Oreochromis niloticus: one gene and its partner. The protein of the gene in region 1 purifies or fractionates together with the protein of each later gene. This does not show direct contact. Links are inferred from orthologs where the notes say so. Each region holds a gene or a part of one and is shown in the gene's direction. Other genes may lie near its edges.

Region 1 (7,984 bases):
TCTCCCCTCACCTCACTGCTGCTCATGGTTCATTATCTGCTGTTACACCGTCCTCTGCTCCTTCCTCTGTTTCAAACTACTCCGCTCCCATTTCTGTTTCCTCCCCTCTCCCCACCAAAATCCCTGCTTGTGAAACTCAAAACAATGCATCTGCTCTCAAACGGGACGCATCCCTCCCATTTATGGGTTTACTCAGGACAGCAGAGGAGACAGTTCAGTTTGTGACCTCTCTACAGTCCCGACGAGGGTTGAACCCCTCTATGGCTGAAACCTTTGGTAGTTATAGTGGCCTGACTCTTCAGGCGGGACCAAATACCAAACCAGCTGGTTTTGTTAGTAGCGAACAGTTGCAGGAGATCCTTCAGGAACTCAACGTGGATGCAATTATGGAAACCACGCTTCGATCTCCCGATCAGGTGCCCAGGATACCTTCTCAGCAAAAGCTGACCAGAGACTCTACACTCTCCCCTCTCTCCCCACGGACACCCTGCTCCCCTCCCTCTCCTGCACTCTTTCGCTACCCTAGCATCTCACCTTACACCATGAGAAAAAGGCGGCGGCCCTTTCACACCTCTAGAGGAGGTTTAGCTTCTCCCTGCTTCTACACAGGCTCTGAGGTTCCTGGCTGTGCAAGAGCAAGAGACACATGTGCGCTCCAAAGTCCAGAAGATATTACTGTGGATGATAACTGTATCCCACATCACAACAGTGACCTTGAAGAGGGAAAGGAGGAGGAGGACGGAAAAGTGCATGAAGTAATGAGAACATGTCAGAGGTGTGTTTCAAGGCTCCCGAGATGTTCGGTCTTGCATTGTGAAGAACAAAACCGTAAAGCTCCAGAGGATGTGGGAGCAGGCGGTGATAACGAGCAGCACCGTAGACACATTCGAGACTCCTGTGGGTATTCGGACTCAGACTCCAGCAGCTCAACAGATTACTGCTACTACCACCGTCCTTACTGTGACTCCTGCCTGCAGCGAGGCTCCCTCCTGTACTCAGACAGCTCCTCAGACTCCTCTGACAGCGAGTATGATGACTACTTGAGCCTCTACCGCTCCCCACGCCCTGTGGTATTCAAAGAAGACCTCAAACCCACCTTCGTATGAACACGTTTACTGCACTTTACACATTTATCCAGTTCCACAACTTGAATGAATATCCTCAGAAAGGTTGCTAAAACTGATGTATTTCTGTGATGGAGGGACATTTGACAGTAGCTTACAGTATAGGAACTTTACATTCCAGAGATTGGTGTTTTTCTGTGTTGCACCATGGGTCACAGTGACTGATTTATAAGACTAAAACTTTTGTAGCTTAAAAACACATGATGCTGTTTACTTTTATAGTTCCTTGTGGCATTATTTGTATTATTTGGATTACTATTTCTACTGTCTGATGAAAACCTTTGACACTTACAGTACTGTGCAAAAGCCTTGAGTTACTCATTTATTTATATTTAGTTTCTTTTAATTCTTTAAGTGGTTCTGAAGGACATTCGCTTTTGGACATTGGCTGCTTTTTCATTCATTTTTACACGAGTCCTTGGGCCTCACCATTTCCAGAGGAATGTTCTTTTTCTGTGTTTGTTTTTTGTTAATCTTTTTAACACTTACCTTTGAATAATTCAAACATAAAAAGTGTTTGATGACAATGATAACAGACAACTTATCAAAAAAAATATTTTAAATTGTATGTTTAGGCACTTTGTTACTAGCAGCCGTTCCAAAATGCACAATTTGTTTCCACTTCTTTAATCCATAAAAAAAATGCCAAAGATAACACATTTTGACAGATATAAAACAGTTTTTGCACCAACAAATTGATTCTCAAAGTGCTATCAGCCCAAGATATTTCTTATGAATCATAGTTTAAGTTTTCCTCAACATATATGTGGGAGATCAGGAGAGAGGTGCAACAGTGAGTGCCTACAGAATGATAAATGCAGAAAAGTACCATCAGCCTTTGATCCACTATATAATACCACCTGGAAGCTTTTGATTGGCAATGACTTCATTTTTCGATGATCCCGAACATACTGCCAAAGCAGTACAAACATAGCTGGATAGAAATGCACACAATGCAACACTATCGGTCAAGGATTGGTCTCCCCAGAGCCCAGACATCAACATTACTGAAGCAATGAGAGATCATCTAAACAGAGAATGAACAAGAAAACTCCAAAGAAGAGTTACTTTTGTCCTTCAAGAAGCCTGGAGAACTATTACTGAAGACTACTTAAAGAAATTACAAGAAAGCTTGCCTAAGAGAGTCCAGCATGTGTTAAAGAATAAAGGCCGTCGTACTTGTACAAACTATGTTTCTTTCCTTATATACTGTATTTCTATTTATGTTTGCACCTATTTCATTTTTTCCCAGCAAAATATTATGAACTGAAAAAATCAGGACTTTTGCACAGAACTGTAGACAGGTGCTTTATTAGTCAACTCATATAAGTTCTCAAAATATACTGACAGAAGAGACACAATAGTGAAAAATGACATAAACAGATGCAACATAAAAGGTTTTCACAGAACAAATGTGCGCTCTATTATCAATTGTGCAATTCTGTATTTATTTCTGTATTTATTTGTTGATGTTTTGGTGCCCAAAATTACTTTATGTTTCTTTTATTATAAACATTCCTTAAAATGTTGTTATGCTCCTTTGCTGAATCTGAGTTTGAATTTACAATGTGCATTCTGTGAATGTGAGTGCTGACGTGATGTTAAATACTAAACCTCACCTTTATATGATTTCCATGTTAAATGCAACATTTTCCCTGAGTTAAAACATTTGCCAGGCTCTACATCACTTTAATCTCCACCATGATTTCATGATTTCACCACATTTTCATGGATTTTCCCGAAACACAGACAAAAGCCTTTTCTCCCTTTTATCTTTCATGTCTCTTTTATGACTTGCCCTTCACTTCCACTCCCTTCTGCTATCTACTCTCTGTCTTTCTCGTATTTTATCCCTCCACTAATGGGGAAATGTGTGTTTGCCGGGGGAGGTGTTGCTATGAAGGCAAAACAGTGTCTTGTGTTACTTCTGCTCAGCTGCCTGCTTTTAAGATGCTGCCGCTCTCTGTTCTGCATATGAACCATTGAAGGCCAGCCTGGGAGAAACTCCCTTTGATACGGAGAATAAAACACACACAGACACACATACACATACACACACCCCTGCATAAAAGATACACTAGCAACTGTATCACTGTGAACAGGGAAAGACTTTCCTGCCCTTTCTGCATTCTGCATATAATATATTTTATTGCCATTTCAGGAAATGCAGCACACATATAATTAGAGTTCAGTACAGTTAGTGACACTCACATGCATTTGCAGAAAAGAACAAGATACACCTTCAGCGATTTTACATCACCAGACAAACATAAACTGCACCATTTCCAACCTTTTTGGTAGTTTGTTAACAATAACTGCTTTATAGATCAGTAATAAATTACAGTTCTAGATTATTTTAAATCTTTTTGACTCAGTGATACAACATTCATTTATTAACACCTCATTCTTCTTCTTTGATCCTTTAGGGGTCGCCACGGTGGATCATCTGCCTCATTCTCACGCTATCCCTATATCCTCCTCCTCACACCAGCCCTCTGCATGTCCTCTGTCACCACAGCCATGAACCTTCTCTGTGATCTTCCTCTTTTTCCTCCAGCCTCGCAGCTCCATCTTTAAAATATATCTATTATCCCTCCTCTGCAAGTGCTCTCATCCTTGTCTCTCTAACTTTGTCTCCAAACCTACCATCAGCTATCATCTTGTAAACCTTCCCTTTCACTCATGCTGCTTTTGTCACAAATCACCCCTGACACTCGTCTCCACCCAGTCCACCCTGCCTGCACTCTCTTCTTCACCTCTCTTGTGCACTGTCCGTTGCTTTGGATTTTTGACCCAGTGTAGTTAAACTAATCCACCTTCACTATCTCTGCTCCTTGCAGCTTCACTATTATTAATGAAAATCGTTCATACATTATGTCAGTTGACAATACAGCCCTCTCAAGGGTAAGAGGAAAGAGAACAGAGAAAGAAGATCATGGAGAGACAAGGACAAAACACAATGGCAGAGAGAAGAAAAAAGTTAATGCCATGCTGTAGTGGTATGTAAATGCAGCTGTAGCATAAAGCGATAAGAGGAGAAGAAATGCTCATTGCATCTTAGCAAGTCCCCCAGCAATATTGCATCATAATCAAGACATGGTTCGGGGTCACCTGATCTAGCCCTACCTATAAGCTTAATAGAAAAAGGGAGAGTTTTAAGCCTAATCTTAAGAGTAAAGAAGGTATCTGCCTCCTCAAACTGGGAGCTGATTCCACAGAGGAGATTGCAAGCTGAAGGTTTTACCTGTTATTCTCCTTTTAGAAACTATATACATCAAAATATCACCAAAAATTAAGTGAAAAAAAACATCAGTCAAAGGAATCTTCAGAGCCAACTGATCCATTAGGTACGACGCCATATTTATTAAATAAATAATAGCAAAAGCTTTGTTTGTCTGGCATCTTACAAACACACAAAAGAGACAGCAGTTTAAATGTGAAATCAGGAGGTACGATGCCAAACATGCAAGATAAGGTTACAATAGAAGGGTGAGACGCGTGCACGCGCACATTATTACATTACTAAGCAGGATGACACTAATTAAAAGGATGTGCCCGAGGGCCGCGTGAGGTAAAAAGTGTTGGGGAGCGATAAAGAAGAGGCTTTTGTATCTAACATAGCAACAGTGCTGCATGACCACCGGTGCTCCGTGTCCGTGACAGCTGGGTCCATTTGAACTGACAGCCCGGCTTCGGCTCTCCATTGGTGGAAGAAGTCATCCATCCCGGGAGCGGGCCCGCCCCTTGTCCCCGACGCGGCACAGGAAAAAAGCCTTTGAAGTCGCGAGGGCGGTGCCGAGCAAATTATGCCATGTGGTGCTCGAGAGCGGCGTTTTTATTGGACGGCGGGAAAATGGTCACCGCCCGTTTTTGAAGGATTCCCTCTCTGATTGGCTCAATCGGCCACCCCAGATTCGCCGTGCGCGCGTTCACAGTTTTCCTATTCTCCCTCGCGAGTTACGTCAGCAGCGTGAACGTCTTTCCGTGACGCCGGAGCGATCCCTCGAACAATTTGCGGAAACGGCGTACCTACCATGCGCAGCGACAAAGACTGCGAGCCTGAAACCTATGGGGAAGGAATAAAAAAAGAAATTCCGTATCGTTGGACTCTGTGCTGAAAGACCAGTATTTTCTGAGGAGCTCACCGGCCTGGGGTCTCGGCAAAGACACCGAAATTTAACCGAGGCAAGGCTGGATTTAGAGTCGGCGTACGGCTAGTGAATTTGCTGAAGAAGACTGTAGCAGCTGGCAGATTTTCCGTTGGACCGTCTGTAGGCTAGGGTATAGCGAGGGAGCCGCCATGGCAGTCGGATCATTGAGCCTCCACATCGGGATATGAAGTGGAACTGCATGTGTTCCGAATCGTTAAGAAAACGCCGCATTTGTCACCGATCCGCACCGGATCAGCATCTGAACTAACCCTTCTTCATCTCCGTGAAAACGATTCCGCACCCCGAAAGAAATTACCGCTGGTTTTTAACCGTGGGGCCACAGGGAGAGGCCAGATTCATGACTATTTTAGTCGGATACGTGTCTTCAAAGGCCCGCTGAAAGAAAACCTGGAGCATAAGGAGGAAACGATGCTCTGATCGACCGTCGGTGGAAAAGAAAAGGGTCATTTAGTGGCGATACAAAGTAGTGTGAAGGATCCTGGGATAAGGGGATCTCTTTCTAGCTGACCTCCCTGAGAATTACAGTGATATTAATTTACTGTCACCCCCCCAACCCCCCTTTTTTGGATTTTTTTTTATTATTATTTTTTATTTTTGATGAGAAGGTTCGGCGAATCGATCAGCTCCGCCGTTTAAGCAAGTCACAGTCGAGAGAATCAAAGGGATCGTCGGATCATGTCGGGTCGGCCCAGGACCACATCCTTCGCAGAGAGCTGCAAGCCAGTGCCGCAGCCTTCAGCTTTCGGCAGCATGAAAGTCAGCAGTAAGTACTCCCGTGTAATTCTAGAGTGGCAGACTTTTCCTGCACGCACCAGGCCCACTGTGGGCTGCATATGCTCGCTTAAGTGTCCTCTCACTAACTAGGCTGGAAATGTGTCAAGTTAGCATACGGTTAGCTCCGGGAAGCTTATCTCTGTCATATATGTGTGTCACAGAGCGAGACTGGAGGCTGCTGAGCGGCACACACTGCTGCTCGCCCCGGTGTGGGCACACAGCGTTACGCGCTCTGTCGCGCCGCCCCGGGCCGGTCAGCCGGAGCAGGGTTAGCAGGCCGCGCCGGGAAGGGCCGGGCCGGGCCATAGGAAGGTAGTGTTGGCACAGGCCCAGGTCAAAACCAAGCCTCCTTCTTCCACCGCAGATCCGGCCTGATTATTGTCCATTTGAATGTAGACTAGATCGCGTAGAGATATTGCCACACAGCACCAATCACATGCGTAATGGAGTTAAAGCGATAGGTCCGGTCTATTACGCAACCGTCAGAGCGGAAGGTGCGCCCGTAGTTGAGTCGGGCGAAACTGACGCGATCCTAAGGGGGGTGGTTTATTAGCCCTGTTTCCACTACTTCCACGGGCCGTGTCGCGACGACCGGAGGGAGTGTGACATCGAGTATCCTGTTCATGAAGCCACGGTGGCACGGTGCCGGAGACCGCTTATAGACTGGCTGCAGAGAGGAAGCCATGCGACTGACTAGGCCTGTCAGCTGAGCAAGTGGCGGGGTGGGGGGCTGGCAATGTTGGTGCTAGACGCCTCTCTTTCGTCTAGTCTATCCATCACCACAACGATCTCAAGGCAAGGCGCACTCGCTCCCATTCGCTCTGTCTATATGCTGAAGATACTACTGCTGTACTGGTTATATTTAATGGCCCAGTTAGAGCTCACTCAGATGAAATAACATCAAATTAACACTAAAAGTCGTTTCATTGAAATTAATTTAGAAGTATGGCATCCTTACTATTAATGAGTATCGACTGTCGTAGATGGACACGTGCACATTTCCTAGTTACACCCCTGTCTTATCTGACACACAGATGGGTGTGGGTGGGGTGGAGTGGGGTTTGGGGGCACGTACCTGTTAAGGAATGCTGACGGAGCCTTAAGGGCTGTGATGTGAGCATGATGTATGTCAGTCGGGTGAGGCCTGAGGCTCAGGCTCATGTCTGGGCCTTGGTGTTGGAAACCGATTAGTGCACTGTGACACACACACTCCAAACCCAAGTCTAATTCTTGTCTTGCCCCAGATGCATGTATAGGTCAGGTCTGCTAAATGTGAGAATTAATTTTTTCAGACAAAAGTTTTGGATCCTCAACTTGATTTCTTTTTCTCTCATAGAGACTCATCTGGTGACTCAGTACGTTATTATCAACTAAAATAATAAGCTGAACCTCTAGTTGCTCAATTAAATAGGTGTTTGATAATCTGATGTCTAACAGCAGGTGGTGTTCATCTCCATGGAGGAAAGTAGAGTGGCTGATTGCTCAGATGTCCCCTATTGTAAAATTTCAGTCTGTGAAGCATTTCATGGAACCAACCCTTCCCAAAGTAATTTCCACCAAAGTAAGCAGCTCTGGCAGCTTCAGGGCCTTCTGTACATCGCAGATTCTGGGCGTGGACATTAGTAAAACATTGGTGAAAATGGTGGGTTATATTCATTTAGACTTTTATAAACGGGAAGGAAACCAGCAATTGTAAAGGTCAGTGGATATATATGCAGAGGGCCTCTTAGCAACACATTGTTGGTAGCAGCATCCAAGCACCCAAACAGAACATTATTAAGTTCCCAATCTTTAACGATCAAGGATGATAGCAAATCTTCATTGTCGATTGTGCTTAATCACTGAGTTTTATTTTTTCTTGTAACAAGCAGCTACATATAATTTACATTTCTTTTTAGTTATTGTTTTAATCTA
Region 2 (7,677 bases), on another chromosome or scaffold:
TGAAGGTATTATGTTCTCTGTTTGTGTTTACATTTATTTCATAATTAAAGCAAATGTTGAATGTATTAGTTTAAAAAATTGTAACTATTCTGTCATGTCTGATGCTTTATAAGAGCTTTCTTAACATTTTCTTTTTTGTTTTGTAGTTTTAGGAAATATATATAATGTAACTAAAAAAAAAACAGGGGGATATAGGAATTTAGAAATCTGATAGGACAGCTGCATCATCCATTGATAAGGTGAGAGTGTCTGCCTTTAATGTAATCTCAGATTTTGAGAGTGCAGCCCAGTTACACCTAGCTGAAGTGCATGCTAAAGGCCATCTGGAAGAAAAGGGTATAGTGGCTGCCATGGAGACAGTCCAAACACAGAGATCTGGAACAGTAGAGCAGTACAGCCAACAGCAGGAGCTCACCACCATTTCCTTGGAGGAGAAGAAAATTCTGCTCTGTCTGGATCGACTCAACCACCAGCTTCAATGTAAGCACTTTGTGAAGGCCGTTAAAATCAGGCCAGAATTTTTCTGACCTGTGTATGACAGAAGAGTATCAACATGATGTCGGTGCAGCGTAACCACGCCAACCTGTTACTATTTGCAGGTGTGCAGGAGCGTGTTGGGGGCAATACTAGCATGCATGGTCTTGTACTTAGTGATGCACCCTATGTAAGTATTTAGCAGGGATTTATTTCTTTCCTCAACAGAAAGGGTGACTTTGTTGAAGATAATTCATTCCTTAACTTCTGTCTCCATTTTCAGACAAGAGAAGTGAAAGCATCAAACCATAACAAACACTGTGGATCCTCAGCTAACAATCACTCTCGATACCACAAGAAGTCCTGACTTGAAGCTTGTGTTCGCCACAGCAGTCTTGAGCCCTCATCGGTGCACATTATGCTGAAACATGTTGTTGAAACAAGCACTTATTACCCCGCAAAAGGAATTTTTACAAAGTGTGTCTTTTCAAGTAACTAAGGATCTGAAATATAAACAGCCTTGAATTGCAAAGACAAAAAAACCCCATATCAGCAGCCTTAGAGCGCACGTAGCACATGGTCATAAAAGAAAAACAATTTTAAGATACTGATTATCAAGCAATTTAAGTCTGAAGTGCCTATGTAAATGAGAAAGGCTTTAATCTGTTTTTATGTTAAAAAATGCAAAGATGCTCTTGTTTCAATCAACACATGACCAGCCCTGACTACAAAATATACAAACACTATCAAATTGTATATGTTAAATGTTTAAAGTTGCACCACTCTGTATTTATTTTGTATAGTAACACTATGATTTGCTGGACTGTTTTGCAACTATATCAGCAGTGAAGTGAATAAATCTTGTTGTCAGTTTGCTGATAAACTCTGTGTTTGGCAGTGTTACAATCAGTGAATTGACCAAGGCCTGGAAATGGTTTATGAAAAGACGTTTTGCAGCGTTGAAGGTGTGTTCGTCTTTCTTTTATGGCTGTGGAACAGATGATTATGGCTACTAGACTCAACCTACTGGCTCAGCAAGCCAAGCCTCTACCAAAGAGGTTTCCACAGGTTTCTCTTAAGATTGCACCTATGCTGAATTTTATTTTTGCTTTAAGGCTTAATTTATTTAATATTGCCCTCAATCTATAGCAACATCAAAAGACAAAGGATGGTATTATTTGATACTAGTTGTTGTTTAAAGTGTATTTAATTAAAAACTTCTCTGTCTTCCTCGGCAAACAATAGGTGCATTGGGGGAAGACGCTGTAGGGATTATTGATGTGAGCTGCCCCTCCTTCTCCGGCGTGTCTGGGTTTGTCCCTCTGTCAGCCTGCTAGGACTTGTTCCAAGAGCTGAAGGAAGCCCAAGCTCATCTGAACAATGATGGGACTTTTTTATAGCTTAACTGCAGGTTTCTTTGGTGCTCCAAGAAGGAGCTATAAACAGTAATGTGACAATGGTGTCTCATTGCCACATCGAGTCGTGCATCACCTCCTTGTTAGCTTACACCAAACCTGAGAACAGCAACAGAGGGAGACAATGTATTCATTTTTAGCATATGATTATGCCCACAACAGCAGACGCACTTTGACTCATTATATGTGAAGAGATTCTCCAGTGAAACATACAAATTGTCCAATGTGGTTAATTGACAATGAGCATCAGTGTTATTTCTACCCAGTGTGCATGAGACGATTATAAAGGGAAGAAAACTACTTTTATCTGAACTGATGAATGCTGATATTTAACATATTTGAGTCCTACCTATTAACAAGAAACTGTCTAGTAATAATACTTGGACTGCCCCAATAAAAAACAACAACAACATAGGCACGCACACAAATAAACACAATCATGTAGATTAAGTGTTCATGTTCAGATAAATCACTGAAATTCTGAATATTCTGCTGTAGGTTTGCCCTGAAATCAGTTCCGTTTGGCTTGGCACCATTATTGTTCACAGTCATTATGCTATACAATGGTGAGTGTAATGAGCTTTAAGCCTTAACCAGCACAACACCCAGAAACTGAACAAGAAAAGGCAAGAGTGCTGAAAATAAGGGGAGACATTTTCACAGATGCAAGTTCAAACTTGTGCTTTGGTCTGTTGTGAAGCTTAAGCTGTCAAGTATTTTGTCTTCTTTTGTTACAGTCCATTTAACACGCAATGAATGAGTGTCTGGAAAAGCAATATTGCATGCAACGAAAAATGACTGAAACAAACCTTGACTTCTGAATCTGAATATCTTTTGTAATCAAACAATATGCACATGGATGGGAGGTTGGAAATTAAGCTTTACATGTTTAGATCAAATTTGTAATGATAACAATGGCTTAAAAGCTCAGAAAATGAGTGATAGCTAAGATTTATGCATAAAACTGAAAGACTGTAGACAATAAAAAACGTTAAAGTTGACATGCAGTATATCATTTTCATTTATTATTGACTGTATTGTACGTGGTTAGTTCATGTTTAAAGGAAGTCAGAAAGGAAGGGATAGACGCTGCAATAGTTTGGGATAAATACCGATTGTACACTGCAGGGGGCGTGCGAGCCTTCTACTCACTTGACTATAGCAACGGTGTGTCAACATATCTGTAATAGCCAAACAGAAGAGCAAAGCGCTTTACACAAAGTGGACTCATGCAGCTACACTGTAGATCACAGGTTGATTCTGGTTTATAGCGGCCATATAATCGTTTCTAGTAATATCCAATCGAGAGCAGTGAGGAGGATGGAAGGCTGACAAAAAGTGACCAAACTCGGCGTGGTGGGTGGTCCTCTTGGCGCTGCCGGGACACTGCAGTCCATCTCTTTAATGTGTCTGACTGCGTTACAATGATGTAAAAATGGCCACTTTCATTGAAACAATTGCCATTTTTTGACTGGCAGCATGTGTGCAAAGACTGTTTCCTTCATTCATCAAATTAGAGCGACTTTTAAAACAATAATCAAGTATTTCACATATATTAAAAGTTTTCTCACTGTCAGTATTTTACTAATCATTTATTAGACACATCGAAGTTTAGCAGGACAAACATGAATTCCTATCAGTACACTAGTATGGTGGATTACAGCGATGTTAAATGTTTCTAAGATTTTGAAGGTACAGCTTTGTTAAAAAGTATTATCTGTCCAAAAGCATGTGGCTTGTGACTATCAGTCTGTTAAGGAGGTTTACAGTGTCTGTGGATATTTAATAGATCTTCATAATGATGCATTCAGTGGATGTATGGGAAAAGCTGAAACAGAGCCTCTATATCCAAAGAGGGTGGATCTTGACAAAATGATTTCTCAATGGGAGAGGGGCCGCATTAGCATAACAATTGTGGGAACTGCATGGGTCTACTTTTCATGAGCACTGTAACAAAAAAAAGAGAGTGAGAGAAAGACAAAACTGTACTATTACACATAGTGATGATAGTTTTTTTTTTGTTATCTTTGCTCAGATTCTTGGAAAAGTGTTTATCTATATTGTGTCATAATGCTATAAATAAATCCTGCAAAGAAAAATGTGATCTGCCAGTGTTGCTTTAGTCAGATTTTCCGTTTGCAAATGCAATTTATTGTAAGTTATTATGAGCTTTAAGTTCAATATGAATTTGATTTTCGTTTTCTTATTTGTCCTTTAATTTCTTGTTTTTACACTAGAAAACTTTGGTAACTTTGAAAAAAAAAAAACATGTACAAAGTTGTACAAGAAAATGTCACTTTATAGCATCAAATTTGAGTTTAATTTGGTTACATTGCTGTGTTCATTCATTTTCAGTGCATCTGCAAGTTAGTTTAATGAAACTTCCTATATAGTAGTTTCTTTTTCTACGCTGCATTCAGATTTGGGCTAGCAAATGGGCCATAATTTATAAGGTGTTGCCCTGATTGTCCAGTCGAAGATTACATAAACTGTAAAGGATATTACAGTTCCATTTGCTGTCAAAATAAGTAGATGTTAACTTTAAAAGTTGTGACATGTTTTATCAAAAACGTATCTTTTGGCACATAATATTTTACTTTTAATTTCACACGTTATTTAAATTGGGGAAGGTGCCCGCTAATAAAGGGCTTGGCTTTTTCACAGTCTACCTTTAAACGCTCTTGTCCCAATCGGAGCCGTAAGTCCCGCCCTTTATTGGTCATTACGTCACTGGCGTCATAAAGTTTGATGTCTCCTCTCCAAAGTTTAGATCCGACTGGGGCTAAACTTTTTTTTTTTTTTTCTAGAAAGTGAGCTGCGGAGATTTGTACTGCTCACTATGAGCCTTGCTTAAAAGAATATCAACAACAGCTTGGACTTGGCCCGACACTCAGAAAAAGTTGGACTCTTTCACTCAACCGTTTGTGGTGTTTTTTCGTCTTTTGTGGCTGCATCTGCGTTTTTTGGGGGGACGAGAGCATAAATTCCAATGTGGAGTTTATGCGCTTTGTTACGTTAACAAGTATGCCAGCAGGAAACAACAGGAAAAGGCTGTCTTTCATTGCAGATTTCGACAGCTAACACACTTTGGAAGAATATCAAGTGCTCGACTTGTAAAGTTTAGAATGACTCCGAATAACTTTTACTGAGTGTCGTCGAGATTTTCAGATTTCTCCCGGCGTGGAAAAAAAAGTTTGGGATTGACTCACGTTTATTTTTTAACTTCCGAAGCCTAACTTTTTTGGGACATAAAGTTCGAAGACTGTTTTGGGACAATGGATCCGAGCCAGCACAACCCTCCTGCCGGACACCAAATCGTCCATGTACGGGGCGACTCTGAGACTGACCTAGAGGCGCTTTTTAACGCCGTGATGAACCCGAAAGTCAATACCGTGCCCCACTCTGTGCCCATGAGGATGAGGAAACTGCCAGACTCCTTCTTCAAACCACCAGAACCAAAGTCTCATTCCAGACAAGTAAGCCCGCCCTGGTTTTTACTGTGCCCGTACTCAGAAATCACGACTAAAAATCAGGGCCCATCTTGTCGAGCTTCGGCCTTCTGGAGCTACGTGACTGGCACTTAGTTAATAGTTACTTCATCCTTCTTCAGTGCCATTTTTAGCCTTCAGCGTTATTGTTTTATTGGTCAGTCATCTTTGAACACACTTTTTTTTTTAAAGTCTTTAAGATATAATAACTTTATTCAGGCGGACTCGTATTGACATGCTTAAATGAGTGTGCATTTCCATTGATGGGTTGTTTTTTTCCCCCCCTCAAATTTCTATTTAACACATTGCACAGCAAAAAAACAAAACAAAACATTAAAACAGTAAAGGCCGTGAGGGCTTTATAAAACGGCGGAAACATTCTCTTACAGTCTTTGGCCGTAAGTAACCAAGAAAACCGATGAATATTGCTTAGCTTAGAATAAATTGTGAATAGATAAGTGACCATGTAAAAACAATAAGGGATGGTTTGGTTAATAATTCATGTATAGCTATTTGCAGACGGATAACCGTCATGTTCGCATCATCTTAAATTTTCTTTCTAATCCGACTTTTTTATGTAAACAACTTGATTTGCTGACAGGAAATCATATGATGGTTAAATTATCCTATATTCACCCACAGCCCCTCCCCGATCCCTTCTTCCATTTCCAGCACTTCCAAGTTACCGGTCGCTCCCCATAACGCTGAGGATTTTTTGTACTAGTGCGCATGCGTGTTGGTGGCGGGCCCTGGATGCCTCCCACACCCGAATAAGTCAAAAACATGCCTTCACATGCACATGAATAGAATTTATATACACTTTAAAGTGATTATGAATTATAAGGAGTGACTCAAATATTAAATGGGTAGAAATTATTTAGACTACTACACAAGGTCATTAAATTAAGACTGTTCTGTTTTTCGTTTCTTAATCCATTATTGCACTTGTATTTGAAACGAACAAAGCCACATATATTTTTTTTATTCTTTCATAAATGTTTAGTTTGTGTTTACATTTTCGTATTGCCTTTTTTAATTATTACATGATAATTGATGTTTTGAAGTAAGGATTTTCACTCAAACTCCCCACAGAAAACTGACTCAGCTCTTGTTGTCTCTCAACCCCAACACAGGCCAGCACCGATGCTGGGAGTGGCGGAGTGCTCATCCCTCACCATGTCCGTGCACACTCATCCCCTGCTTCCTTGCAGTTAGGAGCTGTTTCTGGTGGCTCACTGTCTGGCATGGGCTCAACAGGGGCCTCTCCTCAACATCTTCGTCAGTCTTCTTATGAGATTCCTGATGACATGCCCCTACCAGATGGGTGGGAGATGGCCAAGACTGCCTCTGGCCAGAGATACTTCCTCAAGTATGTATGCTGCCATGAAGTGCATCATACAGTTTGTAAAAGTCTCAAAATGCTTGCAACCTGAAATGTTTTGAAAAGTCAGTGATATTCATTACATTACATTTTAATACCATCACAATCACAGGTTCAAAGTTTTTAGTTTGTCACAATGAAAGTTACCAAAGAATTGGTCTTGTGACAGGTCTCTATAGAGACCTCTGTACTACAAAGCAGGATTTAATCTTATCTGGGTAACTTCTGGATTACCTCTGAAGTTTAACCCTTAACCCTAACCTGCTCCGGAACAGGTTAGGTTCCTGATTAGAGATCAGCAGGTATGAAATCACCGCCTACTGACCAGGCAGTTTGTTGGAAACTGGCATCACCCTTCCTGAAAAATCCCACTGTGGGTAGAGTAGATGGTTTTTCAGTAGTGTCTAAAGTCTTTGTGTTAACCTGTTGAGCATCAGTGATAAATATAAATTCATTCCCATGTTGTCAGCAACAATCTATTCTTTGATAAGTGTTAGTCAGTAATATATGATCCTAAAACAGGACACCTATACTGCACTTTCTAACCTAATTTCAAATTTGTACATAGACTAAGCCTATATTTGAATTCTGTTGTTGTATTTTAACTTAATCTTAAATACTTAAAAGACACAGCAGCTGTAACTGTTTTATGCAAATTTGAAAATGATTGGAATACTTGATAACAGCTCATCAGGTTCTCCAATGTCTTAAGGGGATATTTTTATCGATTAACTCACACAAGTGGCTACACTTTAATAATAGCTTTCTAACCAAAGTGGATACAAATACTTACATCATTTATGTAACCTCTTCATATTTTTCTAATTTTAAAGTTTACTCTTCCTTTGTAAAATCAGCTTCTAGTACACTAATCAGTGTGATTGGTCAGACATTACCAGCACCACCTCTTTCATGTGAA

What was found. The genes of interacting proteins can lie anywhere in the genome.
Region 2: the proteins of gsk3ba (region 1) and yap1 purify together in Homo sapiens (affinity purification with western blotting; 3 studies listed by BioGRID and IntAct, with this or other methods). This does not show direct contact. The link is inferred for Oreochromis niloticus from reciprocal best matches to the Homo sapiens genes GSK3B and YAP1.

The regions. Positions count from the first base shown.
Region 1 is NC_031987.2:19,718,214-19,726,197, forward strand, and holds the start of gsk3ba (glycogen synthase kinase-3 beta), read left to right. Parts: upstream 1-4,954; 5' UTR 4,955-5,971; coding exon 5,972-6,059; intron 6,060-7,984. Other genes in the region: gpr156 (probable G-protein coupled receptor 156), read left to right, coding at 1-1,106. UniProt on the Homo sapiens protein: Constitutively active protein kinase that acts as a negative regulator in the hormonal control of glucose homeostasis, Wnt signaling and regulation of transcription factors and microtubules, by phosphorylating and inactivating glycogen synthase (GYS1 or GYS2), EIF2B, CTNNB1/beta-catenin, APC, AXIN1, DPYSL2/CRMP2, JUN, NFATC1/NFATC, MAPT/TAU and MACF1.
Region 2 is NC_031979.2:32,236,326-32,244,002, reverse strand, and holds the start of yap1 (transcriptional coactivator YAP1), read left to right. Parts: upstream 1-4,631; 5' UTR 4,632-5,164; coding exon 5,165-5,365; intron 5,366-6,510; coding exon 6,511-6,746; intron 6,747-7,677. Other genes in the region: cep126 (centrosomal protein of 126 kDa), read left to right, coding at 1-5, 271-480, 600-664, 758-841. UniProt on the Homo sapiens protein: Transcriptional regulator with dual roles as a coactivator and corepressor. Critical downstream regulatory target in the Hippo signaling pathway, crucial for organ size control and tumor suppression by restricting proliferation and promoting apoptosis.